Linked DNA regions of Danio rerio. The protein of the gene in region 2 purifies or fractionates together with the protein of the main gene of each other region. This does not show direct contact. Links are inferred from orthologs where the notes say so. Each region holds a gene or a part of one and is shown on either strand. Other genes may lie near its edges. The genes, in order: ap2s1, itsn1, eps15 and eps15l1a.

What was found.
Region 1: the proteins of itsn1 (region 2) and ap2s1 purify together in Homo sapiens (co-immunoprecipitation; 3 studies listed by BioGRID and IntAct, counting the BioPlex papers as one, with this or other methods). This does not show direct contact. The link is inferred for Danio rerio from reciprocal best matches to the Homo sapiens genes ITSN1 and AP2S1.
Region 3: the proteins of itsn1 (region 2) and eps15 purify together in Homo sapiens (co-immunoprecipitation; 3 studies listed by BioGRID and IntAct, with this or other methods). This does not show direct contact. The link is inferred for Danio rerio from reciprocal best matches to the Homo sapiens genes ITSN1 and EPS15.
Region 4: the proteins of itsn1 (region 2) and eps15l1a purify together in Homo sapiens (affinity purification with mass spectrometry; 4 studies listed by BioGRID and IntAct, with this or other methods). This does not show direct contact. The link is inferred for Danio rerio from reciprocal best matches to the Homo sapiens genes ITSN1 and EPS15L1.

Annotation. Positions count from the first base shown.
Region 1 is NC_133190.1:9,938,655-9,946,346, reverse strand, and holds part of ap2s1 (AP-2 complex subunit sigma), read right to left. Parts: intron 4,486-7,692; coding exon 4,336-4,485; intron 1-4,335. UniProt on the Homo sapiens protein: Component of the adaptor protein complex 2 (AP-2). Adaptor protein complexes function in protein transport via transport vesicles in different membrane traffic pathways.
Region 2 is NC_133176.1:50,353,113-50,360,804, forward strand, and holds part of itsn1 (intersectin-1), read right to left. Parts: intron 5,762-7,692; coding exon 5,652-5,761; intron 3,273-5,651; coding exon 3,010-3,272; intron 1,430-3,009; coding exon 1,280-1,429; intron 1-1,279. UniProt on the Homo sapiens protein: Adapter protein that provides a link between the endocytic membrane traffic and the actin assembly machinery. Acts as a guanine nucleotide exchange factor (GEF) for CDC42, and thereby stimulates actin nucleation mediated by WASL and the ARP2/3 complex.
Region 3 is NC_133183.1:18,309,623-18,317,314, forward strand, and holds part of eps15 (epidermal growth factor receptor substrate 15), read right to left. Parts: intron 2,849-7,692; coding exon 2,687-2,848; intron 515-2,686; coding exon 317-514; intron 1-316. UniProt on the Homo sapiens protein: Involved in cell growth regulation. May be involved in the regulation of mitogenic signals and control of cell proliferation. Involved in the internalization of ligand-inducible receptors of the receptor tyrosine kinase (RTK) type, in particular EGFR.
Region 4 is NC_133197.1:15,669,433-15,677,124, forward strand, and holds part of eps15l1a (epidermal growth factor receptor substrate 15-like 1), read right to left. Parts: intron 3,791-7,692; coding exon 3,749-3,790; intron 3,643-3,748; coding exon 3,553-3,642; intron 3,476-3,552; coding exon 3,428-3,475; intron 1,614-3,427; coding exon 1,518-1,613; intron 1,433-1,517; coding exon 1,367-1,432; intron 1,276-1,366; coding exon 1,150-1,275; intron 932-1,149; coding exon 872-931; intron 1-871.

The DNA.
Region 1 (7,692 bases), on a different chromosome or scaffold from region 2:
AAAGTCAACTCCTTCTCTAAATTTTTTTTGGACTTTGCTTGAAAGCTTTACGAAGTGGCTCTGAAGCTGTCCAAGGTACTGTTGGATGATAGAACAAACTAGTCAAATGAATCAATCAATTAAATAAATATAGATTCTTAAATGTCAGTATTGCTTTTACTCAAAAAATATCAGTAGGTTTTGACAACTGTTTTATAAAAATAAAATGAGCAACTTTCATCATTTTAGCTTTAGGCAATTATATGATTCAGTTATACATAAGTTGGACATTTATGGGGGCATGTAACATGTTTCTATGTTATTGTTTTTTGTTCTTGGTGATCTTACAGGTAGCTATACGCAAATATTTTCTAAAACGCCAAAAAAGAATTTGCCTACAGCTTGTTAGTTAATTATGAAGGCAAAAATAATTAAAATAACAAAAATAAAATGATAAAAATACAAAGATAAAAGAGCAGCATTTTGCTAAACAGAATAGTCCTTTATATGCTTTATATCCTGATATATTGTGTTGTTTCATATTCGTATTTTATTCCACTTGCTGCATTCGTTATTTAATGTTTGAATACTGAAACAAATAGCAGCCATCGCTTAAAGGTTTACATTTTACCATCAAAATGTAGTATATTTTATATCATTATCATCTTTTGATATAAAACTGCTGTGTAATTTAATTGATTGTTAAAAATGAAATAATTTAAGTGCTATATTTTTTATTAGTGAAAGTGCCCGCTCACTTTTGACAAGGTCTGTCCAAAAATATACTTTGCCACTATAATACAAATGCACTATTATTGTTGCATTATCGTTGTTTAATTTTCTGTTATGTTCAGAGATTTGATATATATTATTCATCTCCCCTCCAATCATCACGTTACATTTTGGTCATTTTCCCCCCAAATAAGATTTAACCAGAGCCGCCGCGCAACATATAGGGCCAGACGAAATCCTTTTTTTTATATTTCTGCTGAGAATTTTGGTAAAAATCTGCAGATTTCTGCAGAATTATTTTGGGAATATTACAACTAAAACATTAAAATGTGAAATAATATATAATATCTTTTAAACTTTTAATGATTAAAATGCAAATTCAATTAGATCCACTTTATTTGGTAAACGAAGCAAGTCTCTCATGTAATATATCTACTAAAAGGTATATTATATATATGTACATAAATCAGATGAACATTTCCATATTAGTCAATAATATTACTATAATTAATTTAAAAACTAAATAAACTTAGATTTACCCAAGTAAATAAACAGAATTATTGATGGGCTAAAAATCTTCGGAAATCAGCGAAATTCTGTGGAAAATCTGAGGAATTCTGCGCACGCAGACTCTGTGTGTGCCTACATATGACCTCTAAATAAATAAGGGTGCTGTGACATGTGCCTATATTTAGCACCCCTATTTGATTAAGCGACATAACAGTGCTCAGTTATCCAGTTGCTTTCGATTTTATGAACATCAAAAAAGTAGTTTATTTAAATTTAATTCAACGAAGGAGCCGTTTACATTGTATTACCAAGGTAACTACTAATAGGTTTGTGTAATTTTTCAAAGAGCTTTGTTGCAGCATGACAGTGGAAAATGAAACCGTATCCGTGCTGTCTGGCCCGGTTTGGCACGGAATGGAACGGTTCTGCATAAAGAACGATTCAGCACAATAGTGGAACAATGGGCTTTTAATTTGAAATAACCTAATGATCAATTAATTCTTGGCTAGAAATTGCAACAGCCCTGTGAAAGGAGGAAAGTTTTTGTTAAAAAGTTTGGAAAAACCTGAAGAGTTTATTAAAGCCAAAAGAGGCCATGGCAAAAGTGAAGATCCAGGTACAAGTTTGCAGAATATGCTTTTCCACCATTCATAGGTTTTACACTGACGTATATATTATAATTTTGAACTGAAAACAATTTAATAGTTACAAAACTATAATTAAGGAACAAATTATTTCTTTGATAACTGGGAAGGAATATTTGAACCTATCGGTTACAGCATACTGATGGCCTGTTTTTTCTAGGCTTTATTGATGACAATGGTCAGGGATGTTGGACCATTGTTGCCTGTTTAGTATAAGTACAGGACAGAAACTAGACAGACAATAATGTGTGAACTGTGGTGTGGGCTAAATCTAAAGAAAAACATCTGTATTTTTTAGTAAGTGTACTTTTTTTCATTTAATCCTGACATAATAAAAATATATATTTGTATAGCAACCCATGTTCTGTTGTCATTAATATTTTAATAAACTTTAATAGGTAAAACTGCCGAAGATATGAACAAAAGCAAGTGATGCATCAAAGTTTGATTAAAAAAAATCTTGAATGGTTATAAAAATCCTTATAATCATTTAAATAACTTATAAAAATCCTAAAAATAATTTAAAAAGTTGTATTATATTAACGATATGATGTCATTCTGGAAACTTTCCACTTCTCTGTTTATCAATCTGTCTTACTGGTGGGTTTCTTTTCGGCGCCACCCTGTCGTTTTAAAGAGTATCACAACAGCGAACACGGCAAGTATAAAAGCCTTATCCATTTTGTGAGATGCACACACAGTCATCAAAAGTGCGCCAGGCAAAAGTATAAAACCAGCTTTACACTTCACATATGTTGCATGCATGTGTGAAGACCTGTCCAATCACCTCTTAGTAAGTAAATATAGAGTTTCTCAACATTCAGCATGGCAAGTGATGGAGATAAACGGCAAAAGTGCAGGTGAGACAAAAAAACATGACAGCCATTAGTGTTTCAGCAGACACTCAATGTAAATTCAGACAGTCACCCAAATAACAAATGCCAATTTTCTTGCAAAAAACTTAGATGGCCTAAATAGCCAAAAATGTAAAAAATTTTAAATTTTAAAAAGGTTTATTGTTCTTTGAATTTGTCTGCAGCCATCATTTGTAAACTTTGCACATACCATAACGAAACAGTCAACCAAAAACCATGATAAACCATTGCAACCAACGTAGTTAACTGTAATGGACTCACACACTGACCTAAGAAATAAAGGTAAAGTTGGTATTATATTCGCACATCGGGACTTTCACCTTCTTAATATAATTTCAGAAAAGTATCTTTTGCAAATTCTAAATAAGGTAATCATATGAGCAGTCAAACTCCATCAAACAGGATTCTATGACTTTCCAGTACTTTCAAGTACATTTTCATGGCGTAATGTTTCATGTAATGTCAACATGTACATGGGAAATAATAAGAAAAACAAGGATGTTAAAATTTATTAAAGCACATCATAGAACACGCAACCATCTATTTTGTTTACATTTGTTTTCATATTGATAGATTGTGAGAGCAAGTTTTTGGCCAAGGATAGTAAAGAAGTAAAGACAACTAACCTAAATTCAAGTTACGGCAGCAAAATGTATCAATTCAGCATCGATATCGCAATTTGTGCATCCACTATAGTCACATGGCAGGATATGCAATGTTGCAATGATTAAAGTTTAATATAGAGTTTAAACATAATGGAGTAAAAGTTCAGCATCAGTACGTCAGCATGCATTTTTAAAGAGATGGTTCACCCAAAAATTACTTCCCATTTATATTACACCGATCACTTGTTTCAAACATTTATGCGTTTTCTTTTTTTTCTTTTTTTTTTTTATGAACACAAAAAGAATCCAATTTAATAACTCCTATAGTATTGAAACAAGTGAAGTGCGAGTAAATAGTGAGTACATTTTAATCTTTGAGTAAACTATCCCTTTAAGGCCTGTGACTGAAATGTTTTGTAACTATTTTGTAAATAAAGTTTAAATAATATACAATGAAGACCTGAAACCTATAATTCACCTATATCTTCACTATATTTTATTTATCTATGCTTGTAATTTATTTGTTATTTATTAGTCGAGATTCACTCCCCTACAAAATTCCCCCAATCAATCCAAATAAACCTGTTAAATCATCAAGTGAAATTGTATTCACATCGCAATGTACATCACAGAAATACAAAATATGGTAATGTCAGATTTTTCCAATATCGTGCAGGTATACAGGTAATTGGTAAACACATTTTCATGACATTTCCAAAACCTTGTGGGTTTTTCCATTTTTTCAAAACTTTTCCAGGACTTGAAAATGTCATGTCAAAATTCCATCACTTTTCCAGGTTTTCCATGACCGTATGAACCCTGATCAAAGTATATTATTGTTCACAGTTAATTAAATAGAGATAATGATGCTTTGAAGTCATACTTTGCAAGCGGTTTTGGGGAAGGGTGTCACAAATTGTCAATGTTATGTGAATATAAAACTAACTTTAACCCAAGACCTGAGAAAAATGTTAAAAGCGAGTGTTGTACCTCAACAAAGTTGGTGTGTTTGGCATCACGGACTGTCACTACAGCATGCACCTCTTCAATTAGCTTCTGCTTCTCATCGTCATCAAACTGCATGTACCACTTGGCCAGTCTGGTCTTCCCAGCCCGATTCTGGATGAGGATAAAGCGGATCTGGAAATAAACAGTAAAATAATAAAAATTTTGTAAATCAGTCAGTAAAGCATAAAACATAAACCTTATTGGGGTAAAGTTGGTTTTATATTGGCAAATATTCAAAGTTTTTCCTTGATAATATAATTTCAGTAAAGTATTCTTTGCAAATTCTAAATAAGCGAACCATATTAGCAGCCAATGGCTATCAAAGTACAACATCGTTCACAGTCTATTAAATAATGGCTTATGTTTCTCAGCAAAGATGCAATGTAGAACCTCTTTAATCCAGTGTTCTGATGATGGAGGGGACATAAGTTTCCATTTGAGGAGAATTGCGTGCCTGGCGAACAAGGAGGTAAAGGCAATGACATGGCGTGTTGATGTTTGTGCAGTTGGGGTTGGAAGATAAACTGAGACATTGTTTTAAAGGATCACTGAACTTTAACAAAACATGAAGTCCTATACTGTCTGTCATTGAGAACCTTAACATTTCAGGACCTGCTGACTAGAATTTCAAAAGGGAGACTTTTAGTGTTTACTTCATATTTTCTTCTTCTATATTTACCCATTTATATATATATGATTTTAGACTTTGGTTGAACGACTTTACTCTGAGAAATAATCTCGGTTACACGGTTATCACGATTATTTTGCATTTTTTCATTCATTCATTTCGGCTTAGCCCCTTTATTAATCCGAAGTCGCCACAGTGGAATGAACCACAAAATTATCCAGCATATGCTCTACACAGCGTATCCCCTTCAAGCCGCAACCCATCTCTGAAAAATATTATGCATTTATTTATTTTAAAACACTACTAGCTTAAAAAATCACCTGGAAACTCCTCATATTAAAGTTTTGTTTATTTCTGCTTGGTAATAATAATAATATATAAGCAAATTATTAATAAAAACAAACAATAGTCCTTTCTCTTTGGACTTAAAATGAAGTTTAAAAAGTATTTTTTGCATTCAGTTAAGATGAACACAGTTTCTATAGTTATACTTTATTTATAGATAAAGGTATATGGCTCTGTATATAATCACTCTATCTTGCTGGAGTTTATAGCCGTTTCGCTTTACTTCAGGACACATTATTGCCGCTCTGAAGGTCTAATCACTGTTTTAAGTTATCCAGAGCTGTATGAATGTACAAATCTTGAATATCATAATATTATTAAATATTAAAATTTTATCAACATATACAGCAACACTTTTGCACAATCGATACCCAGCTGATTCAGTCGTTTCATAAGAGGACCGCGCTTCTTCTCTTCTTTTTTCCTTGTCAACATAAGGGCAGTGAGGTGCACCTCGCGTTTTTGGAATGAAAAAACCACGTTAGCTGTGGTCGGCCACTTGTTCAACTGCAAGACATACTTAACTTGCGGGACGACAACGTATAACCCGTGCCTACAGACACATTTGCCAAAGAAGCTAAATGGAAGAAGAAAATTGCTTGAAACAGACGTGTTGATGCCAAAAAAAGCACTGATGTTGACCTGGATCTGCGTCATAAACGCAACAAATAGGCTTTACCTTTTATTTTAAAGCTTATAAAGCATGTATGAACATTAATGCAATATCATATTTAAACAACAAAACTGTTTACAAAAAGTCAACATTTGCGCGCGTTGTTGTTGTCTTTTCATCACGCAGCGCTCGCACTTGAGCCGCGATGAAGAGAAAGGAAACCATAGCAAGACATAATCTTTAAAATAATGATTTGTATTAAAAATGTAAAAGGTTTTGTGATTATAATAATACAAGCGGGGCATTAAATAAATGCATATTTTTCGTGGAGCGAGTGATTTGAGGAAGTCTGCTATTTTATTTGACGGAAGACAAAAATATGATTGGAAAAAACAGCCTATATGCCGGTTATTAAAAATAATCAGTCAGTGTTTTCGATTTGTAATATAAATTAATTATTTAAGTGGAAAATTATTTAGGGCAGTCCTATTTATTTCATTCATTTTATTTAGTTTATTCTGTTCTTCTGTGCTAAACACTGCAGGTGTGTGAAGATGCTCTGTTGTTCTGTTCTGTTATTAATATGCTAGCATTTAAAAATAAATCAGTATTTTATGCAATATTTAATGTGTCAGACACAAAATAGACACGTCAATTTGTTTAATATAAAATTAATAGTATCTGACCAGTTAACCGTTAATAACCGATTAATGAGCGGCGGTTGTCGGTTAGCAAAATTAACAGAAATGAGCATCCCTAGTAATAACGAATTTGTGCATGCAAAGACACAATATGTGAACGGCCCTTTTCTAAGCCTCAGCCACAGTGTACAAGCTCGAAACTTCAAACTTGTGCAGAGTTGGAGTAACTTTGTTTACTTGCAGAAGTTTTGTACTATTCAGAATTGCGGTGTTGAGAAGCCTTTACGTTTAATTAATCATGATGAATTAAACCGCGGTTAATAGTGAAATCGGTTAATCGTTGCATCCCTAATATATATACATGTATATATATATATATATATATATATATATATATATATATATATATATATATATATATATATATATATATATATATATTTTTTTTTTATAATTATTTTTTAATTGGTTTATTATTTATGTATCTGTCTTGATTCATCTACTTATTAAAGGCCTCAGAAAATATGGGTGTGAGATGGGAGGAATGGTGCATGAAAGGGGTAGAAAAGTTTGTAAGTTTGATTTAAGAATTCTACAGTTTTCTTGTTTTTGTTGCTATATATTTCATGTCATCTCTTTGCTGGTAGGACTTCTATTTTTCATATACATTTAAGTTTGAATATGTTACCACCCTGGTCTAGGGTCAGGGCCGCAACATAAAAAAACACCCGACAAATAAAATACACTTTAATGACCCTTTTGTGTCGGGTCTCTTTAGTTGTCTTTTTCTTTTATAAAAATAAATAAACAATGTGAAGCCAACTACCTCGGGGTGAACCCACAGAAAAATAACAAACAAAAAGTACTAAACAACCAAATGTAACTTACTACAATTAATAAAATAACAGAAATAAAAATATACACCCATCTCCCTGACTAAGAACAAAAACAGGTGAAAATATTTACAAAAAGAAAAGTGTGGCGTCCAACCCCTACTGCCTCTTACTGTGTCTGAGTGTGTGTGAGTGTGTGTGTGTGTGTGTGTGTGTGTGTATATTAACAATCAACAAACACACAAACCAAAAACCAAATAATAGAAAGGGGAAACACAG
Region 2 (7,692 bases):
GGGAAAGATCAGAAGGTAAAAGCTATTTAAGGCCCATGAAAACCTTGTATATTACACACTACATTAAAAAAAATGTACACACACACACACGCACATACACGCACACGCACGCACGCATACACAGACAGACAGACAGACAGACAGACAGACAGACAGACAGACAGACAGACAGACAGACAGACAGACAGACAGAGACAGACAGACAGACAGACAGACAGACAGACAGAGACAGACAGACAGACAGACAGACAGACACATACACACACACACACACACTTGAAGTCAGAATTACACAGAATTATTAAGCCCCCTTTAATTTATTTATTTATTTTTTTTTTTGGATTTTTAAAAATATTTACCAAACGATGTTTAACAACGCAAGGAAATTTTCACAGTACAACTAATAATATTTTTTCTTCTGGTGAAAGTCTTATTTGTGTTATTTTGTTTTATTTTGGCTAGAATAAAAGCCGTTTTTAATAAAAAAAAACATTTGAAGGTCAAAATTATTAGCCCCTTTAAGCCATATATTTTTTTCGATAGTCTACAGAACAAACCATCGTTATACAATAACTTGTCTAATTAACCTAACCTGCCTAGTTAACCTAATTAACCTAGTTAAGCCTTTAAATTCCACTTTAACCTGTAAAGACGTGTCTTGAAAAATATCTAGTCAAATATTATTTACTTAATAAAACTATTATGATTAGAGATGTGTTGAAAATAAACAGGGGGCTAATAATTTAGGGGGACTAATAATTCTGACTTTACTGTGTATATATATATATATATATATATATATATATATATATATATATATATATATATATATATATATATATATATATATGGCACTTTAAATTTGTTCTACATACTGTAAAAATGCAATCAATTGGTGTTAAAACAACCTAAAATTTGTTCGTTTTTTTTTACTTTAAGTGAACTGAACAGAAAACAATTAAGTTGCTCCCCAAAAAACTTGAGAATTGTGTTATTTCAGATGATTTTAAGCATGTTATTTGATCAAGCAAAATTAATTGTTTATACCCTACGTATTTAAAAGTGTTAACCACCACTGTAAAAATGCAGGGTCAAAAACAAGTCATTCACGATGTCCCAACACAAATAAATTAAGTTCATTGGTTTTGACAAGTTTAAGTGGATAGAACATAAAAAAGTAAGTTGTCTCCAAAAAATATCTCAAGAATTGTGTTGTTTCGGCTCATTCTAAGTAAGTAGTTTAGACAATTATTTTTCTGAGAGATGAAAGTGCACATGCCAGAGCCTCCAGCTCAAACTCGAGAGTTTTCTTCCGTGCTTTGAGCAGGACGATGTTCTCCTGTTCTCTGTTCCTTTGGGTGAGCAGCTCCTGTCTGCGCGTCCTCTCCCACTCCAGCTGCCTCTGTCGCTCCAGCTCCCGTTTAGCAGCCTTCAAACACACAAAATCATTTATTTATTTATTGCCACATAAGCAACTTATGGCTATTTCATGGCAAGATCAATTTGCATAAAAACACTACATGATAGAACAACTTCATAATTCATTAAGAGATGGCTCACATTAATACAAAGTCAAACATGATTTTTCTCAATTTAATATTTGATAAATAACTTCAAATTCATCCTGGTGATTCCTTTTAAAAACATAAAATAAAGTGTTTTTGTCTAACAGTACTTAAATGTCCACATTCAAATAAAATATGCATCATGGTGAGAGCACACACAAAATAACACAAGGGTTAATGATAGTGTCAATAGTGCTGAACACTCTGGCTTCAAGGCACTGGGAAAATGTGCGACTATGTTGTTGAATATTGCATGATATAATAGCATTTTTTTTTTTTTTTTTTAATAGTAATTTTTTCGGGGTTTTCACCTTTATTGGATAGGAAAGTAGAGAGAATTGACAGGAAAGCAATGGGAAGCAGAGAGAGAGGGGAAATATCGGCATAGGACTGCGAGGCGGAATCGAACTCGGGTCGCCGCGAGTGCATGTGCCGTTGTACTAACCACTACACCACTGGCGCCAACATAATAGTATTTCTTACAATATAAAAACAATATTAAATGATATTTCCCTAAAAAACTTATTTTACAATAAAATCAAAAAACATTTTAAGGTCAATATTATTAGTCCTCTTAAGCAGATGAATTTTTCGATAGTCTACAGAACAAACCATCATTATACAATACCTTGCCTAATTAACCTAATTAAGTCTTCAAATTGCACTTTGAGCTGAACAATAGTCAATAGTATCTTAAAAATATCTAGTAAAATAGCACATATTGTCATCATGGCAAAGATAAAAGAAATCGGTTATTAGAAATGAGTTATTAAAACTATTATGCTCAGAAGTGTGTTGAAAAAACTCAGTTGAAAATAAATTGGGTAAAAATTTAAAAGTAATTTTAAAGGGATAATAATTCTGACTTTAACTGTAGCTAAAATCAACCAATGTATTAAATAAAATGTAATTCAACTACACACAACAGCGATACAATCATTGCATATGCTATTATCGCGATAACCATACTTATCACAATATATTGTTCAGCACTACTTATCACTAGGCCCACACGGAATCTGTGAGCGCAGAAATCCACGGATTTTTGTCCCATCACTGAGTCTATTTATTTACTTGTGTAAATTTATATTTATTCAGTTTTTAAACTATTTTCAGTAATATTATTGACTGATATGAAAATGTTCATTTGATTTATTTACAATACAGTTTGTAAAGTAATATTTTCTGTCGTTTAGTCGATTTATTATATGAAAGATTTGCTTTGTTTGAGTGGATCTAATTCGATTTGCATTGTAAAAACATTAAATAAAAGTTATTAATTTTTATTTCATATATTAAGTTTTTAGTTATGATACTCCCACAACATTTCCGCATAAATCCACAGATTTTTAACAAAATTCTCAGCAGAAATAGCAACAAATGTCAGCAGATTCTGTCAGGCCCTACTTTTCACTCATGGATTTCCGAGAACTTGAGAACGCACCTCTCTTCTCTCGATCTCCTTGCGTCTCTCCTCCTCCCGCTGTCGCTCCAGCTCCCTCTGTCTCTCCAGCTGTTTGTCCAGCTCCTGCTGTCTGCGTCTCTCCTGCTCCAGTCGTTCCCTCTCCTTCCGCTCCTGCTCTTCTTTCTCCAGCGCCGCCAGTCGCTCCTGCTCTTTCCTCTGCTGCTCCAGAAGTGCCTGTCGACGTTTCTCCAACTCCAGGTTTCCGCGCTCAAAGTTCTCTCGTTTCTTATCCTCAAATGTGACTGAAGGGAAATTATGGAAACAATTTTAGGAGATTGATGTACAACATTTCATGCTGCAAAAGACCATTTAATTAGCATTTAGCCCCTTTAAATTATGCATGCATATTTGTGAAAACAATAACAGGTATCAGTGTGCATGTACAGTGCAAGTCAGAATTATTCGCCCACCTGTGAATTTTTTTTTCTTTTTTTAATATATAAATTTTTGACATTTTCACAGTATTTCCTATATTTTTTTCTACTGGAAAAAGTCTTATGTTTTGGGTGGAATAAAAGCAGTTTTTAATATTATTAGCCCCGTTAAGCAATTTATATTTTTTCAAATGTCTACAGAACAAATCATCGTTATACAAATGACTTGCCCAATTACTCTAACTTGCCTAATAACTAGTTAAAGGTGCAGCAGGTGATTGTCTCTAGAAACACTTTTTGCTGTGCTGGTTGAAAGTCTCTACACATCCCAATAGTATTGATTAAAGTAAATGATCTAAATGTATTTATACATATTTTTATACTCTGAATAAGATATAAAACTAAAAAATGAATATCCAATTAAATAGAGTCGGGCTGGCATCTCCCATAATTCCGATAAGTAGCCCAAACTGTCAGCAAATGCAGATTTGAACAACTGCTCCGCCGTTTGTACGCAGCTCCGCTGTTTGTGCATTCCGCGTTCATGAGAGAGAGAGAGAGAGAGAGAGAGAGAAAGAGACACACACACACACCTAGGTGATTTTAAATGAATCATTGTAAATATACTGATTATTATTGTTTTTATTACTGTTTTATCCTAAAATGTTGATTGTTAAATGTACAGTTTATTCTGATCTATTTTTGTATTGATTTGTATAATATGATATGTTGAATAATAATATAATATATTGAATATTAATGTGATATATTGAATAATATGATGTATTGTTGATATTTTATTTAATTATTATATATAAATATATTTTTTTACTACTACTATTTACTGTGTGTACTGTATATATATATATATATATATATATATATATATATATATATATATATATATATATATATATATATATATATATATATATATGTTACTTTTTATGTAAACTTTATAACTGCTTTGGCAATACATTTGTAACATTTGTCATGCCAATAAAGCAATTATTAAATTGAATTGAATTGAATTGAGAGAGAGAGAGAGAGAGAGAGAGAGGGAGAGAGAGACTGTAAAAACATGCTGAATCAAAACTTTATAAAAACCTGAATCAATATTGGAGTTAGCGTTTCACACTGGAGAAAGGATGACACCATGGCTAAAGTATTTCTCTAAGACAGGTAATGTTCTGTTTAAAAACTATTTTAGCTTCACGCAAAGCTGATGTAACGTTTGATGTTGTTGTTACAAATGGGTTATATCCGCACAGAAGTCTTGTTCAGCCACTAAAATCTTCCGATGAAAGATTGATGTGACTATTTTCAGTTTCATAAGGTCTTTTTACATCATCTATAATGTAGATTTTATTTAGATTAACAACAAAACACAAGTAAATAGCGCTATTCCGCCTAGCCAGCTTTACTGAGGTGAAGATGGTTTTATATTCACATCCCAGTGGTTCATTTTTAAACAATGACAACCTGTGGTGCTGTCCTTCTATTGTTTACCATGCTACTCTGAATATCCGCTCTGAAATAGCATGTCAGTTTGGTTTAGTAATGAGTGTAATTCCTGCATGCCACCAGTCAAGCACTTGTCGCTTTTAACACATGAGAGAGGGTTCTTCTGCTGTCATCTTTAAGGTGCGCATGCTCGTGTTTCAGAAGGCGTGGCTCTGAATGACAGGGGAGGGACTGTGATTCAGAGATTTATGCTAAGCTGTTAGCATTGTGGAAGATCACCTACTGCACCTTTAAGCCTTTAAATTGTGCTTTAAACTGAATACTAGTATCTTGAAAAACATCTAGTAAAATAGTATGTACTGTCATCATAGCAAAGATCAGTCCATTGTTAGAAATGAGTTATTAAAACTATTATTTTAAGATCTTTTTGTGTGTGTAAGTTTGCAATTGTGTAATTGTGCAAGTGTATTGTGTACTATGATAATGTTGTTTAAGTACTGCAGGTAAATGTAAACCAGGAACCTGATATTTTATCAGCCTAAATGACGAAAAACATTTTTAAAAGTAAGTTAATGGTGGAAAATGTACAGTTAACACAGCCTCTGTTGGCAGTGGATGTTCTCCATTTATATAGGTAACTGGTATCAGATCTCACAACACATTGCACTGAAAGGTATTAATGCAAAAATAATCAAGACTATCCATATAAAAAAATGTGCAAATTGAATTCTGGGGTATACTTGTCATCTGAGACCACATGAACTTTAACCAATGTTTCCTGACCTGGAAGTTTTTTCTCGGCCTCTTTCTCCTCCTCCTCTGGCTCTTCCTGAGACCGCAAGTCTGTCGAGTGCATGCTAGTCACAGACACTCCACTACCAGAGCGCATTCTCCTACGCACACACACAAAAAAAACATTAAGTGAATGGAAACATCAAGTGTCTCTAATTGCAAAAGAGTCATGTGGAAATAAAACGTATCAAACATTTGCAGACCATGACTTTGTCTTTCATGTGGCATGTATTGTAGCGGTTTTAAATTTGTTGTTAACATGATAAGGTCAAATTGCAAAAGTAAAGTGCAAGGTAGGGCGGTGACTTCTTATTCTAGAGAAGAGGCAAAAAGCACAACAGATGTCAAACTTTTAAGCTCAATATAGTTGCACAAATAAATTACACATCTGCTTGTTGTTGCTAATGGTAAATTAATTGCAAAAGGAAGCTTTAATGTGACCTACATGTTTGCTAATTTAGTTTTAAAGGTCTCCAACACCAGGTTTATATCCATCCAGAGTCAAAATGTTAATTTTATCATTGCATATGTGCAGAAATGCATGCATAGTATATGATGTATAGCTTTTTTTTTATTATTCACACACAATTTTTTAAGGGTTACAAAAAAAAGGTTTAAGGTTATTAACCTATATAATTAGCTTAAGCATATCATAATTATATAATATAGAAAAATGCAAGAGAAAAAAAAACCTTTACCTCAAGAACCTTGCTAGCTGTCATTAAAAGATCAAATTTAACAAGATTGTATTCAATACTTTTATAATAATAATAATAATAATAATAATAATAATAATAATAATGATAATATCAATTAAACCATTTATAAAATTACAGTGAAAGTAAACTCATAATGATTGTTAAAAGGGGACCTTTTTCAAGGTGATTTATTTCCCCATTATTTTTATACGGTTTATTTCAACATGTACATACATATAGAGGTTCATTCATTTTATATTAATTACTCATGCTAGGCCAGTGGCTTACATTTTATTGCATTTATTTGCGTCAGCCGGCTGCATCTGGATTATTCGCTGCATTGAGCGAGTTTTTTTCTTTGGGTCATGTAATTTATCCAGAAACAGCAATGTTGAACTCCAACATTAGATCGTTAACAGTTCCTTTCATATTCGTGTCTTGTCTATTAATTGTCTATTACTTCTCATCGTGAGAAACACCAGGTGTGGAGCGCAGGTTAAAATGCTTGTGTCTCATGACGAATGAGACACAAGCTGAGAGCCCTTAATTATGCCTTTTTAGGCGGGTGTGTTTGTGCGTCGGTGTACTTTTCCATTTCACAGAGTGCAACTTTCCTCAGAGTTTTCGCAAGATCTTGCTTGTGAGTGTTTTTTATGGCAAATGCAGCGGGAACTACGGGAACCCAGAGGAGAGTGTTGCATGTAGAGCGAAAACCAATTTTCATTCAAACAAATCAGTGTAACTTACACACTTAAGTTAATCGATAAATCGATTTATCGCCCAGCCCTAGTGAGAGGACTTAAAATTTTTATGCTATTGTTATGGTTCACATCGCTGTGTTTTCATGTGACAAAAAGAAACCATCTGAAGCTGAAATTCAGATATAGTAATTGGCATTTGGTTTCTGATATATCTCGTAAGTGGTGAATCAATCACATAAGATGACACCATCTAACCAACTAGAAAAGTCTACACTTTGCAATATGAGGGGATCCTTGAACTAACCGTTTCAGACATTATAAGAAAAGATCTGTGGCTGCTAAGTATATTATGATCAAATCCATGAGTTTTTAAGTGTGATGGATGTAAATCTATTGTTAAAACCTTTAAAGGGTCACGGAACACCAAAACACATTTTTTGAGCTGTTGACAGTCGTGTATGTGTCCCAAACTCCTAAAAACACTATTAGGACACCTATATCTCACTAAAAAGTGAAATTTGGTACTTTTAGCATTATTTCGAGCAAATTCGTACTTCCGGTTTGAAACGAATTTTTGAAGCTGCGTCACGGCCCTGAGATCATAGCGTGTATTCCAGCGTGTAGACTGGGCGA
Region 3 (7,692 bases), on a different chromosome or scaffold from region 2:
TATACAAAATAAATACACATTAAACTGAGGGTAAAATAAATAAATGTATATATGTATATATATATATATATATATATATATATATAAATTAAATCAGTGTCAAGAAATGTAACACAAATAAAAAAAATGACAACAAAAATGCAAAAGAGTTACCTTTAAAAGAGTTTACCGTTAAGTTATCTTGGTATATCACTCCAGTTGTGTCTAAATTGTTTTCCAGTTAAAAACTGGAGGTTCGCCCAGGGTGCCATTTAAACTAGAACCGCTACTGTTAACAAATACCGAAAACTAAGAAACGGATCAAAAGCTGACAAACCTGAACAATCTGCGTGTGGGATTCTTTGACGGCATCCTCTAGAGGGCAGAGTTGAGCTCGAGCAGACTGAACCTTCTCTCCCAGCTGACGCGTCTCCTCCTGCAGATGGAGCAGCTCTTCTCTGGCTCTGGTCAACTCCTCCTCATAGTCACTGATTCTCTGCTCCTGCTCAGAGTGCTGCACCTGCAACGACTGGATCTGAACACGCACACAAACACAGACAAGTGGGGAAAAAGCAGAAAGCAGATCTGAGATCAGTATACTCAGTGAACTACATTGAGTGCTCATTTTTATCCATTCGAGTGAAAATTGTGAAACAAAAGTGAAATAGTACTCTTTTTTTTCCTTTGGTATACAAATTTACATATGAAAATGTAATGCAAAACTGCATGGGAGATTAGGATCAGAAAGTCTAAAACGCATTCAAAACAGCATGCAAAAGTGCGCATTGCAATGCCTACATACACTTAAATCTTTAGTTGAATCAATTGAACATTTCTAGTCACTCTCCTTCAGCTTAGCCCTTAATTTATTAGGTGTTGCCACTACGGAATGAACCACCAATTACTCTGGCATATGCTTTATGTGGCGAATGCCCTTACTTTTCTAGTCATCTCAACTTAAATTGGTCAGATTGACTAATGACATTACATTAATTACGTTTTGTATGCTAAACAAATTTAGTTGAGACCTGATTAACTTGTTAAATTAAGTAAAGTAACACAAAAACATTTGTTATTATGATTTTATGTCATATTTTTGCCAGTGAAGATGAAAACCGGTTTTAATAGTTTTAATAACTCTATAATCTTACTCTTAATTTTTTTAATAAAGGATTGATCTCCACATTATACGCTAAACTCATATCTCTGAAAGAATATAATGTGGATAAAATTAAATCTAGATGGAAAGACGAACTTAAAATTATCAGAGACTTTTTTTGGAGGAGGCACTCAGAAATGTTCATGCATCATCATCCTCTGTTAGGTTCGGGCTTATAAAGTGTTAAAGTGTTACATTTAAGCAAGGCACGGTTGGCAGGAATGTAACCTGGATTAGATGCGTCTTGTGATAGATGTTTGTTTTCTCCAGCTGATTTGACACTTATGCTTTGGTCTTGCCCTTCTTTAAAAAATTATTGGACATTGATTTTTAAATCCATCAATGAGGCCCTAGGGGAGACATTATTGCCCTGTTTCTTAATAGGTATATTTGGAACTCCAAGTGACCCCAGCTTACCAGCTACTCGGATAGGCATTATTGCTTATACATCTTAATATAGTAGTTATATAAATAACTACTTAAAATAGTAGTTATTTAAAACTATTAGTTATTTAGAAACCCTTTTTTATATTTCCGGGTATCTCAGAAGCGAAAATTGTCACAGCTGGGCAAACTTAGAGCACAATGAATGGGAAAGTACCACAATTTTTTGTATTTCTATTTGATTAAATAATAATAATAATAATAATAATAATCATAAAAATCCACAATGGTGTTTTAACAATTTTCCCAACAATAAAAAAGAAAAATTGTGTGAGATTGGTAATGGCAATCAGGAAAAAAACACTATGTTTAATTTACTGTCCTGCCCATTGACGCTGCATTACAAACACCCAGCATAAGTGGTAATCTGATCCACGGATTATATAATACAAATTATAGCTTTATAAATGTAAATGCATTTTATTAAAAATACATTTAAAAAAATTAACGTATTAAAATCTTTGAAGGAATAAAGATGCTGATGACGAGTAAAAGCATCACCGCCTTGTAAACAGGTTCCATATATAAAGTTTGCTCTAAATAATTTTGTCCAATTTGTTGTGAAACAATCAGCAAATTAGTTTGAATTAATTATTACATAAATTACAATATACAATTTAATGTAATAAACAGTTTAATATTAACACAAAATATTACAGCAACAACTAATTTACAAGAAGTCCTTTTTGGCTTTTAGGGTTGAAACACATTTTTACGACTAAAATTCCAGGACTTTTCCAGGACACTTAAGACCAGGACCTAATGTTTCATGTAAAGTCTAAGTATATGTGGTAAATGGCATTAGTTTACATTTATTTTTATATCAATGTAATACTTATTTAGATAATGCTTACACAACACTAATAAAGTGAGAACATGTTTTTGGCCAGGGACAGAAAAGTAAAGACAACTAACCAATATTCAAGCATACAGATATTCATTAAACTAATTTTCATCACTTTTCCAAAACATGTCATGTCAAAATTCCACAACTTTTCCAGGTTTCCCATGACCATATGAACCCTGGTCTTTGGCTAAGTGCTTTCTAAATTTTCAGGTCAGTATCTTTCATACACAGGCTTGATATTGTTGTCTCTCTCTTACCAGTTGGCTCTCCTGGCTGCATTGCTGTTGAATAAGCGTGAGCTGCTCCTCTAGCGAGCGTTTCTGCTCATCCAGCCTCTCTAGCTTCTCCTGCACTTCCTGCCGCTCGGCCTGCAGGCGGCCCAGCTCATCTGAGCCCTTCTGAACCTCCTCCTGCAGGTCCTGAGGGAAAGAGATGCTTCGTTCTTAGAGGACAATCAACATATCTTCATTGATCTAATAATAAACAGGAGTTCATCACACTGACAACACTGCAGAGAGATAATGCTGCTCCTAAAGTGAATATAAAACGCACTAGGAGGAAAGATATTGAGATGGTAAAAGTGTTTAAACCTATTACAAAAGACACACCAAAAGGCCAAGTAAACAAAACAGAATAGAGACAGAAAGGAATTATATGCACAACAGCTTAAAGGAATAGTTAAACAAAACTCGTGGGATTTTAAACCTTCATGAGTTTCACAAAAAAAAATATTTTGAGGAATGCTGGTACTGATTGACTTCTACAGTAGAAAAAAAGGCAATTGGTAGCACCAATTCTTCAAAAAATCTTTTATTGCATTTAACAGAAGAAACCAATTCAGATGGAAGAACTTACCAAGATGTTAAACACAGAAGTGAAAAATAAATTTACGCAATGAACAAATTAATTCTAATCCTTGCTCAAACTGAAAGAACACAGACCTAACATTTAAAAACAAAATAATAAAAATATATAAAATAAAACAATTAAAAATAAAGTAATTAAAATAAAATAATTTAAATAAAATAGATGTAAAAAATATTTAAAAAAATAAAAATTTAAAAATTTAAAATAAAACATCAATTAAAAATAAATTTAAAATGAAATGAAATAATAAAAAAATAAAATTAATAAAAATAAAGTATTTAAATAATACATAAAGAAATTTACAACAAAAAATATTAAATAAATTATTTTAAATAAAATACATTTAAAAATAACAAATACCTTTAAAAATGAAATTAAATAGTTAAAAATAAATTAAAATAATTAAGAATAAAGTGTTTAAAATAAAACACATTTAAAAATTCAAAAAAATTTAAATGAAATAAAAAAATTAAAACAAAGTATTTAAAATAAAATACATTTAAGAAAAAATGTAATTAAAAATTAAAATGATTAAACGAAATAAATTAGGAAAAAATAAGGTATTTAAAATAAAATATATTTAAATAAAAAAATAAATTAAAAATGAAATAATAAAAAAATAAAGTATTTAAAATAAAATACATTTAAAAAGATTTTTTTTCAAAATAATAAATATATTATTAAAATAAAATTACTTAAAAATAAAATAATTAAAAATAAAGTATTTAAAATAAAATCATAAAATAAATTAAATAAAATACAATTAAAAATACAAAATAATTAAATTATTTAAAAAAAAATAGTGCAGGTACACTTCCTTCTTAATGGAAAGTGTAATGTTCAACCTCATGTAGGCTTCAGAGTATTGAGCATCAGCTATGACCTTATCCAGTGACTGATTTCATTTTTTGTTTGTGACATTAATGAGACCACAGTACACTGCATTTATGTGTTTTATGATTTGTGTTCACAGCCTCAGTGCGACCTTGTGCCGAAACTACTAAAATGCGGAACTCAGAGCTGAATATTTCCCGGCAGCACATGACGGAATGCGTAGGGAAAGTGTAGACATGTAGGAGGACTGTGAAGCCTGAAGATGCCATCTGTAACAGGGATATGGAGTCTAAGACCACACTGCAGCTTATTCTGGCCAAGAATCGCCCACTTTATCGAAGGCGACGTCTGAATAGTTTGGCAACAAAACAATTTCTTTGTTGTTTGCAACTGGTTCATTCGGAATGGTTTGAACAACAATAAAAGAACAAAAAGAAAAAAACGAATTCATAAAAAAAATCTATCTATCTATCTGTCTGTCTGTCCGTCCGTCCGTCCGTCCGTCCGTCTATCCATCCATCCATCCATCCATCCATCTATCTATCTATCTATCTATCTATCTATCTATCTATCTATCTATCTATCTATCTATCTATCTATCTATCTATCTATCTATCTATCTATCTATCTATCTATCTATCTATCTATCTATCTATCTATCTATCTATCTATCTATCTATCTATCTATCTATCTATATGTCCGTCTGTTTATTCATCTATCCGTCTATTCATTTATCTATCCATCCATCCTCTCCCTCTGTTCAAATGATTACATACAACTGAAAAATTCTAATACATTTATGCATTTTAAGAGCTTTCAGTTACTATTAAGTTGAAAAAAAGAAAGAACAAAAGAAAGAAAGAAATATAGAATAAAATTAATATAAAATTTTTACATTTAAACAGTTTTTTTGTGGCGGTAAGACAAGAAAATATACCACCTTACTTCTCTTATTAAAAATTACATAACCCATTTAAATTTTTAATTTACAAGAGCTAATAAGTTCAATACTTGGCTTTTGTTGTGGCTATAACAGTAGTTATTTAAATATCAGTTAATAGAAAAAAACTGAATAGAAACTGATAGACATTTTTTACATTTATGGATTATACCTGAAACAGAAGTTGCCACAGTTGGGCAAACTTAAAGCCTAGCGAATAGGAGAGTTTCACAACATTTTTTGTATCCTTTTTGATCAAATAATAAACAATTTGATTGAGACAGGGAAACAGCAGCCAAAAGAAAAACAACGTCAAATTTACCATCCCGCCCATTTATGCTGCATTCAAAACACCTCGCATAAGCAGTAAGCTGATGCAAAGATAAAATAATGCAAAGTCAAACGCATCACTGTTTGGTGAACAGGGTCCACACATAAATTTGCAAACAAACAACAGTATTATTTTATAGTATTATATTATAGTATGTTATCAATATCAATTATGTATCAATTATGTTATCAATATATTATTATATTATATTATAGTATTGTTACTTTATTCTAGTGATGAAGCTGAATTTTCAAAGGGAAAATTACACATTTCTTGAGGAATCTGATTATTAAAACACTGGCAATTGGATATAAAAAATGTGTTTTTGTTTATATTATTTTATATATCAGAATGTATATAAATAATATACATAATTTAACAACTATACATACAAAATATATCAACAAATGGTGTGTTTTCTGTTTCTAACAGATCATATGGTCAATAAACTGTTGAACGGAGTAGCTTCAGTAATGCATTTTCTAGAAAAAACAATGGAAATCCAAAAGATGTAATTTCCTTCTCACCTGAAGGTACCATTACAGCAGTGTGAGACTCTGACTGAGTGTGGCTAAAAATACCAGGTCTTCAGCAGCAGAACTGAGTAACTGCTCAGGGTGAAGACGGAAAAATTCACAAGTCTAAAGCACAAGCGTCTCCTTCTCCAATCAGAAGCGGCGCTGGAAGCCGACAGACCCCGAAATAGAATCTATTCATCATCCCGGCTTTAAACACAGCAGCGGCACCAGCTAAAACTCGGCACACTCTTATTGAATTATTTAACGTTACGAGCTCCCTACAAGCCCTGCATGTTTCAAGGCTAATCTATTAGGAGTCTAAACAAATATTGATCGCATTTAAAATTAGTAAGAGGCCCTTTGCCTGTAACAGCTTAAAATATAGATTTTTAATTTTCTTTATTTTGCACTGTTGCATAGGTGAGATCATTAATCAGGACTACTTTTGACACAACATTTGAAACTTAAAATGCACATCAATTGAACTTCAAAAAGACTAAAGAAATTCAAGAGCGAGATCCATTTTAAATAGGCTTTTTGCACATGCAAGAGATCACAGGTGTCACAGGCACATTTTCAGATGTGGAAAAAAAACAGCAAATCAGCAGGATAAGTGGCCTTGTTTGATGACAGGAAAGGAGAACCCTGGAGAGCGAGACCAGCTGTGCTGTCAATATGCCATCTAATATCCATACACACATATATCTGACTGTTTTCCCTTCCTGTAAGCTTACACACACACACATGCCATTGTTTTTCCGGCTCATTAGGTATCCATCTGTCAATGTATTTTAACATTAGTGCGTATGTGTGTCATTGTCCTAATGAATGACAGGTCTCCAAAAAAAAAATAATAATAATAAATAAATAAATAATAAAAAAATAAAAATGAAAAATAAAATAAAATATTGTCTTAATAATTGACATGTCTCAAATAAAAAAAATACAGCTGATGCAGGTCATTCTTTCAATGTATAACATCTCAAAATAAGAATAAAATTCATTGCCTTAACACAGGGGTGTTCACACTCGGTCCTGGAGGGCCAGTGTCCTGGAGAGTTTAGCTCCAACCCTAATCATACACACCTGAATAAGCTAATCAAGCTCTTATTAGGTATACTAGAAACTTCCAGGCAGGTGTGTTGAAGAAAGTTGGAGATAAAGTCAGCAGGACACTGGCCGGCCAAGGCTGACTTTGGACACCCCTGCCTTAACAAATAACATTTCTCAAAATAAAATTAAAATAAATTAAGCGTCTTTGTTGAATGTATGACATGTCTCAATATAATACTGCTGACGTATTAATGAATGACAGGTCTCAAAATAAAATAAATAAATAAAAGTCTTAATGAATGAGATGTCTTAAATCAAAACTAATCATTCTTTAAATGAATGACGTCTTAAAATAAAATAAAATTCACTCTTAATGACATGTCTTATAATAAAAATGCTATTCCTAAAGAATGACATGTCTCGAAATGAAATAATAATAAATTAAGTTTCCTTGTCTTAATGAATTACATGTCTCAAAATAAAATAAAAGCGCTACTGTCTTAACGAATGTCAACTCTGAAAATAAACTGAGGCAGTTTCAATGTACTAGAACTTCTATGTTAAGCTGCTTTGATACAATCTACACTGTAAAAGTGTTATAGAAATAAAGATGAATTGAACTGAACTAATGACGAGTATCAAAATAAAATAAAATAAATCATTGGCTTAATGAATGATATGTCTCAAAATAAAACAAATTACTGCTGATGCATGTCCTT
Region 4 (7,692 bases), on a different chromosome or scaffold from region 2:
GAACCAATAAGTGCTCAGTAGTGAGTCTTGCTCCCCCTTTTTAATAATAGGTACTGTTGTTCTACCTTTACAAAAGCGGTAGGGTATGATTTGCTATTTTGGTACTTCTGATAGAAAATACGCATGCACTGTACACTATTAAAAATGAAGATAAATAACTAAGTTGTCCCAAAAAAAATTAAGAATTGTGTTGTTTCAACTCCATACTCCATACTGCTCAGTGGAAACAGCCCATTAGATTCTTGCCTTAAATGATTAAAAATATATTTGAAAAAATATTTATATTTATTTTTTAAAAATCATTCAATGTTAAAAACATGACAATAATTCTAATTGTATGAATCAAAATGTGCATCAATATATACACCAAACATTTATTGAGTGATACAATATGATAATATGAGTGTTTAATAATAACATATCAATATGGCTGAAATACCAGTCTATCATCATTCAGGTATATTTAGAAAATATGAAACCAACCGATTACCGGCTGCACATATAAAACAAGCATATAAAAGAACAACTGATCACAAGAATTGTGTTATAGTCTAAATTACTAAAACTTATTGTTAGGTAAAAAATTGTGAAAGTGTAAAACTTTTAAAATGACAATTATTTTCTTGTTAAACTGACATTAAAATTGAAAGTAAATTAAATTGAAATTAATGTCAAATATTTTCAGCCTTTTCTATATCCTGATAAAAAAATGTTTTGCTCCAAAAGAAAAACATAATTTAAGATGACAGATTCGAATGGACAATTTTTTGCATTTTAAACTGACTTTGAGTTGCATACTGCACTCAGTATGTTGACATGATAGTATGTATTACGCTATAAAGATTTTAACATTGAAAAACGAATTACTCACCACTGCAAACTCATCTCTGTCCAAGTGTCCGTCTTTGTCTATGTCACTCAAATCCCACACCTGATCAAACAGACAGATTTAATAATCTCATTATTATAAAATATTATTCCAATAAATTCAGAAAAACATCCCAATTAAATACAAACTATTATTTTAAAAAATAAAAAAATTATAATAATTAGTACAAATTAATAATAATAATTTATAAAATTTGTTATCATTATAAATAGTTTAGGGTTATGGGTTCATTCAATTTATTTTATTTTTTTTTTTTTTACCTTTCCGAGAACATCTACAGGTAGTTTGGAGTTAATCAGTACTGGTTTGACCTTCTCACCAGACAGTAATCCGTTCACCGGGGCAAGACTTTCAAAAATACCATCAAATTTGCTCTTCTCTTCAGGCTGAAAAATAAACAAAGAGATTAAGAACAAAAAAAAATATTACAAAATCTTTTATAATACTAAATCACAAAGACAAGCAAAGTTAAATTACCCGCACAGCCCAGTGACTCTCATTAGTAGATGTTACTGAACTCAGTGATGGACTACTGTGATCCTTCTGGAATAAAAAGTGTACAAAGAAAATGTCTGTGAGCTCATACCAATCATATACAAAAATATCAACTATATATAATGAGACTTACGAATTTTGGTGGAGGAACAGGGAGATTTAAACTGGAAATGCTGATGTCGTGGCCGCTCTGTGCACATGCCACGAGACGCAAAGCAACGTAAAATCCCTAACAAACAAACCATAACAGATCAAGTCAGCATCCAATTTCATTCATTTATTAATTTTCTTTTCGGCTTAGGCGCTTTATTAATCCGGGGTCACCACAGTGGAAGGAACCCCCAACTTATTCAACATGTTTTACGCAGCGATTGCCCTTCCAGCTGCAACCCATCACTGGGAAACACCCACACACTCTCGCATTCACACTCATACACTACGGACAATTTAGCTTACCCAATTCATCTATACCGCATGTCTTTTGACTGTGGGGGAAACCGGAGCACCCGGAGGAAACCCACGCCAACACAAGGACAACATGCAAACTCCACACAGAAATGCCAACTGACCCGGCCAAGGCTCGAACCAGCAACCTTCTTGTGAGGTGACAGCACTACCCACTGCACCACCGCGCCACCAGCATCCAATTTACAATTGCTAAATTCCATATAAATGTAAACATTTTTTACTATTATGCTACATAATGCATAGCTTTTGTTGATAACTATAGCTAGCGAAAGATTCATGTTAACTGAATAAAAATCTGAAATAAATTATATTAAAATATTACATTAAAAACTTTAGTTTTTACCAAATAAATATGAACATGATAATCTCAATTTGAACTTGACAATCTTATTTCTCAACAGTAGTCATGACAAAATCGCCAAACAACGTTGTTGTAACAAACGTGAACAACTGTACAGACCCCTCGCCCAAAAAACCACCAGGCTATAAAGCTTGACAATTGGCTTTTCTGTATGGAAGTCGGGACTTCTTATTGACCGTTTCCACTTTATCAAGCTTGCGTTTCCACTGCCAAAAGGATATCCTTTTGGTGTGCGAGGTGTATGACAGAGTTTCAGACGACGTCATTTTTACTTAAGGAAATGTCACAGTAAAGCCATACGGGTCGTTCATAGGATCATATGAGAAGCACTTCTCACAAAACTGATGCTTTATACACATAAATACTTGTCTATAAATGTTCATTAACACCCTTTCTATGAACATGATTAGATTATAACTCCAGATCAATGACAGAGCGAAATAGCCAACAGTAACGTCTGCAGTTATATAAAATAAATGAATAAATGCAACATATATAAACCCATGCAGACCATTACAGTCTCCGATTTGTTATTAATTACCGAAAACTACACACAGCATACATTTAGGCCTTATTTGGGTTCAAAAACAACAGGCAACATATAGCCCACAGACAGTGCAAACCTCTCATTTGTGTCTGTAATATTCAGCAGCACATGTAACCTCTGTTAGAGAGTAATTCCGTCATTCCGAGTGCATAATAGTCTGAAAGGTGATGATCATAGTTAAACATGGCAGTTTGTTAATGTTTTAGGTTGCTGAAAGCATCATTTGCTGTTGTTTTTCTGGCTTCTCCTTTGTTTTTTCGCGCTTAACTCTTGCGCTTGTCTCGTTCTGACAGGATCGGATATCACAGCTCTTCAATGATCAAATGTACGTTATTAATAATACTAATTTGAACTATTTATCTATTTTTAATTTCTATTAATTAATTTAGTTTTTTAAAATTCATTTACTTATTTTATTTATTATTATTATCATATTTCTGCTCATTTATTTAATTGTTTTTATTTTTTCTCTTTTGCATTGTTAAAATGGGCATTATCTGTTGGTTTGTTTTAATGTGTTTGTAACTAATAGTAAATATATTAATAAAAAATAACAAAACAAAACACATAAATAACACAAATAATGCAGTATATGTCCTCCTTTTTTTCTGATGTGTCATGCATATAACTGTTTAACATTCAATTTAATCAGCTACAACAGCTTTACCTGTTTGTCCAAGAAACCTTTGCCATCTGGATCAGCTAAATCCCAGATCTGAGAGGAGACGAGAAGGTAACTGGGGATTATAATTATCCAGAATTAAGATTTAATCGTTTTACCAAAACACCAACCTTTCCTAATGTGATGTCAGGCAGACCAGATTTCTTCAAGAACAAGGCAGCCTCTGTTGGTCCAACCCTACCGGTGTTTCCTGGGTCGACCTTTATTTACAAGCACATTAAAGAGAATGAAATAAGCTCAATATTGATTCAGTATGAAGGTATTGTTAAAATGCAGTCAAATGAGATGCAACATAAATGTCCTTACCTGTCTGTAAAAGTTCTCATATACAGGGTTTCCGCTTGACAGCTAAGAAACAGAGGAAAACGGGAGAAGCTTTAGGATTAAATCCATTTAAATAGAATATGCTGATAATATGTCGGATTGAGATATATGTTTTTAGTATTATGTAATATAATGTAGTGTTTTTGTTAACTAAAGCTTCTAAACATGCTTTTTGTTAGTTGACATTTTTTATTTGTACAGTTGAAGTTAAAATTATTAGCCCCCCTGTTTATTTTTTCCCCACATTTCTGTTTAACAGAGAGATTTTTAGAGATATTTTCAACACATTTCTAAACATAATAATTTTAATAACCCATTTCTAATAACCGATTTATTTTATCTTTGACATGATGACAGTAAATATTATTTGACTAAATGTATTTTTATTATTAAAAACTGCTTTTACTCGAGCCAAAATAAAACAAATAAGACTTTTTCCAGAAGCAAAAATATTATCAGACATACTGTGAACATTTCTTTGCTCTGTTAAAAATCATTTGAAAAATATTTTTAAAAAAGAAAAAAAAATTTAAAGGCGGGCTAATAATTCTGACTTTAACTGTAATTAAAAATTAAATATAAATATTACATTAAAAAACTAAAACAACAAATAAATAAATAAATAAATGTTGCAGTATTAAAGGGTTTTTGTTTTTTCCTGTAAATGATTCAATAAATACAGTACCGTGACATTCATACCGAGGTATTACCATACCGTGAAATTCTGATACCGTTACATCCCTACAAATAACCCAAAACCAAACCTGCATTCTGATAGTATAGTAACCCTATTAGGTCAGGTGCATCCCAAATCACACACTTATGCACTATTCTATGGCATTTTGTAGTATAAATAGTGCAAGAAGTGCATTCACATTGAAAACTCTAAAAATCATAAGTGCACTTTAATTATCCGGATGATGCACTTATTCAACCGGTAATATGAAGTGTGGAATGATGGACACTTCACGCACTTAACAACCGCAGCTTTGCCCACATAATGGAAAGGGGGAGGTTTCGGTGCTTATGTCAATTTAATATTCTTCCTTAGTAGTTGGAGTTACAATGTAACAAGGACACCTTAAAATAGAGTAACCAAAAATGAAAATGGAAAATTACGCCATGGCATTATCAGAAAAAACATTTAAAAAGTAGTCACAAAAAGTACATAACTATTATCAAAACCTAAACTGCAACAAAAAAGAAAAATCAATGAAAAATTAAAAGTAGTAATAGCAACAAATAGGTACATGAGTAATCCTAAAATAACAGATATACACATTTATACACATCTTTGTAAATTTTTAGATACATTTACATACAGTGAGATTACTGATGCTGGTAATAACTGACCCATGTTGATGTTAGTTTTTTTCTTTGTGTATTTATTTTTCTCACCCTCTCCGCTTCTTACTCAACCCTTGTTGTGTCGGTTCCACCAATCTCCGGACAAGCCGCAAGCATTTAAAGCCTCAACAGACCAGTATGTGGTGTGCGTTCTGCCTCGGAATACCTTTTGTGCTCCACACAATTTGTTTTTGACATGCTTAATCTGTTTAGTGATTCATTATCTCAGTTTACTGTAGTAATTCGAGTTTGCTTGTTGAACTTCGTTGGCTTTGAGTAAAATAATGTACTGGTTGTTGTGCGATTCTAAACTGAGTCTTTAACCGTCTTGTTAGGTTTGTTTTAGTTTAGATGGATTTTTGTAAGATTAGTTTGAGTGTTTTCCACCAGTGTAATTTTGAGTTTTGTAGTTTATTTAGTTTAGTTCGGGTGTCGTGTACAAGATCTCAGTTTTTATTTTCATTACTTCTTTTTTGACGCCTAGTACTTTAGATTTAAGGAGAATTGTTTTGTTTTGTTCATTTCTTTGATTTGGCTTACACTCGTTGTTTTTGTTTAAAGAGAATAATTGAAAATGTTTGATACTTTTTTCATTTATTATTGTTACACATTGTTTAAACTATTGAGTAAAAAAAAGCTTAAATACTGAATTGATTCCTGCCTCATCCTTCATCTGTCGCACACATTACACCTGTCTCACCTAAATGTTACAGCATCCCACTTAAACATCTTAAACTCATAACAACACCCATTTTAATACAACGCACCACATATCTGCATAATACCATTATTCAACAAAAGTCATCAACCTGTATTACTGTTCTATCCACATATTCCAATATAATGAAGATTTGTGTATGTAAATCACCTTGACAGTTAGTTTTAGTGTAAATGATGTTCAGATAATATTGCGGCTAGCTTGTTATTACATTAGTATAACTGTTTTTTACTGTATTTCCCATTCATATAAACAGATATAAACTTTAAATGTTCTTGCAGCTGAATGTTTATCGCAAATTTCATTGATAACATAGATGTTATGTGGGTATTTTTTGCTGAAGTGAGATACAAAGCGAACTAATCAGTTAGCAATCTAAATCCGATTAACAAGACCCGTAACATTTGCACTGTAAATATCGGTAAAACAGCCCGGTTTGAATGCTGTTAAGTGTGTAAGTGCATAAGAACATAGTGCATAAGTGCATAGTGTATAGTGTGTCATTTGGGACGTAGCTAAAGCAAGTACATGTCATTAATTAATATTCCTCCTCAGTAGTTGGAGTTACAATGTAACAAGGACACGTTAAAATAGTGTAACCAAACATGAAAATGTGAAATTAAGTCATTACAACATCAGAAATAACATTTAAGAAGTAGTCACAAAAAATACATAATTACTATCAAAACTTAAACTGCAATAAAAAAGGAATGACAATTAAAGTAGTAATAGCAACAATTCAGTACATGAGTAATACTAAAATAACAGATATACGCATACATCTTTGTAAATATATGAGCAATTCCATGCAAATGTCAACCTTGCCAAGAAAAAATTTAAGTTTTCAAATAGAGAAAACGTTCCTACATTTTTTGTGTAGGATTGTATTTTAAAGTACTATAAAAATGCTCAAAAATGTCTCTGCGAATGTTTTCAAACATTTATATTTGATTTACCAAAAGCACACAAGTGGCAATTTCACATCTGTCACATCCATAATAACAGAGCTTTTCCCTGATAAATGCAGAAATGTCAAATAAATAAAATAAATTATGTTTGTTCTATAGTGAGATCTTTTTAGATCCTTTTGATTAGTATAATTTATTTTGGGTTGTGCAGTTTATTTCACAGAATTTCTACAAAGTTTGTTGTATACTGTAAACTCTATACTGTAAAATTTTTGTCACATCTATAACGCATGTTCATTTTCCTCATTTGAAATATAAAAAATGTTTACAGATTGATATTTGCCATAACTCTGTGGTCAGTTGTTTTAAAAATATAAAAACAGTTGTTTCAATATATTGTTAACATCTACTTTCTCTGTGAATTTATGTGTTGAGTTTTTACTCCAAATGTCACAAGCATAACGCTGGAATTGCTCATATACATAAATGTACATATTGTATGCATATTTCACTTCACTTAACGTTACAGAGTAATCCGTTACAAATCAAAAGTAACGTTACAGTGAGATTACTGATGCTCGTAATAACTGACCCATCACCGCTATGCTAAACTAGCGGTTCAACACCCATTTTTATACATCACACCACAAATCTACATAATAACACTATTCAGCAGATTTCATCAACTTTTATTACTCAAATGTTATTACTGTACTGTAGTCAGATTACGTTACAATTATGATTTGTGTATGTAAATCGCATTGACAGTTAGTTTTAGTGTAAATGATGTTCGGATAATATTGCGGCTAGCTTGTTATTACAATAGTATAACTCCTTTTTACTGTATTTCCCATTCATATAAACGGCCGTAAACTTAATATGTTCCTGCAGTTGAATGTTTATAGCAAATTTCATTGATAACGACGTTGTTATGTGCGGATTTTGTAGCAGAC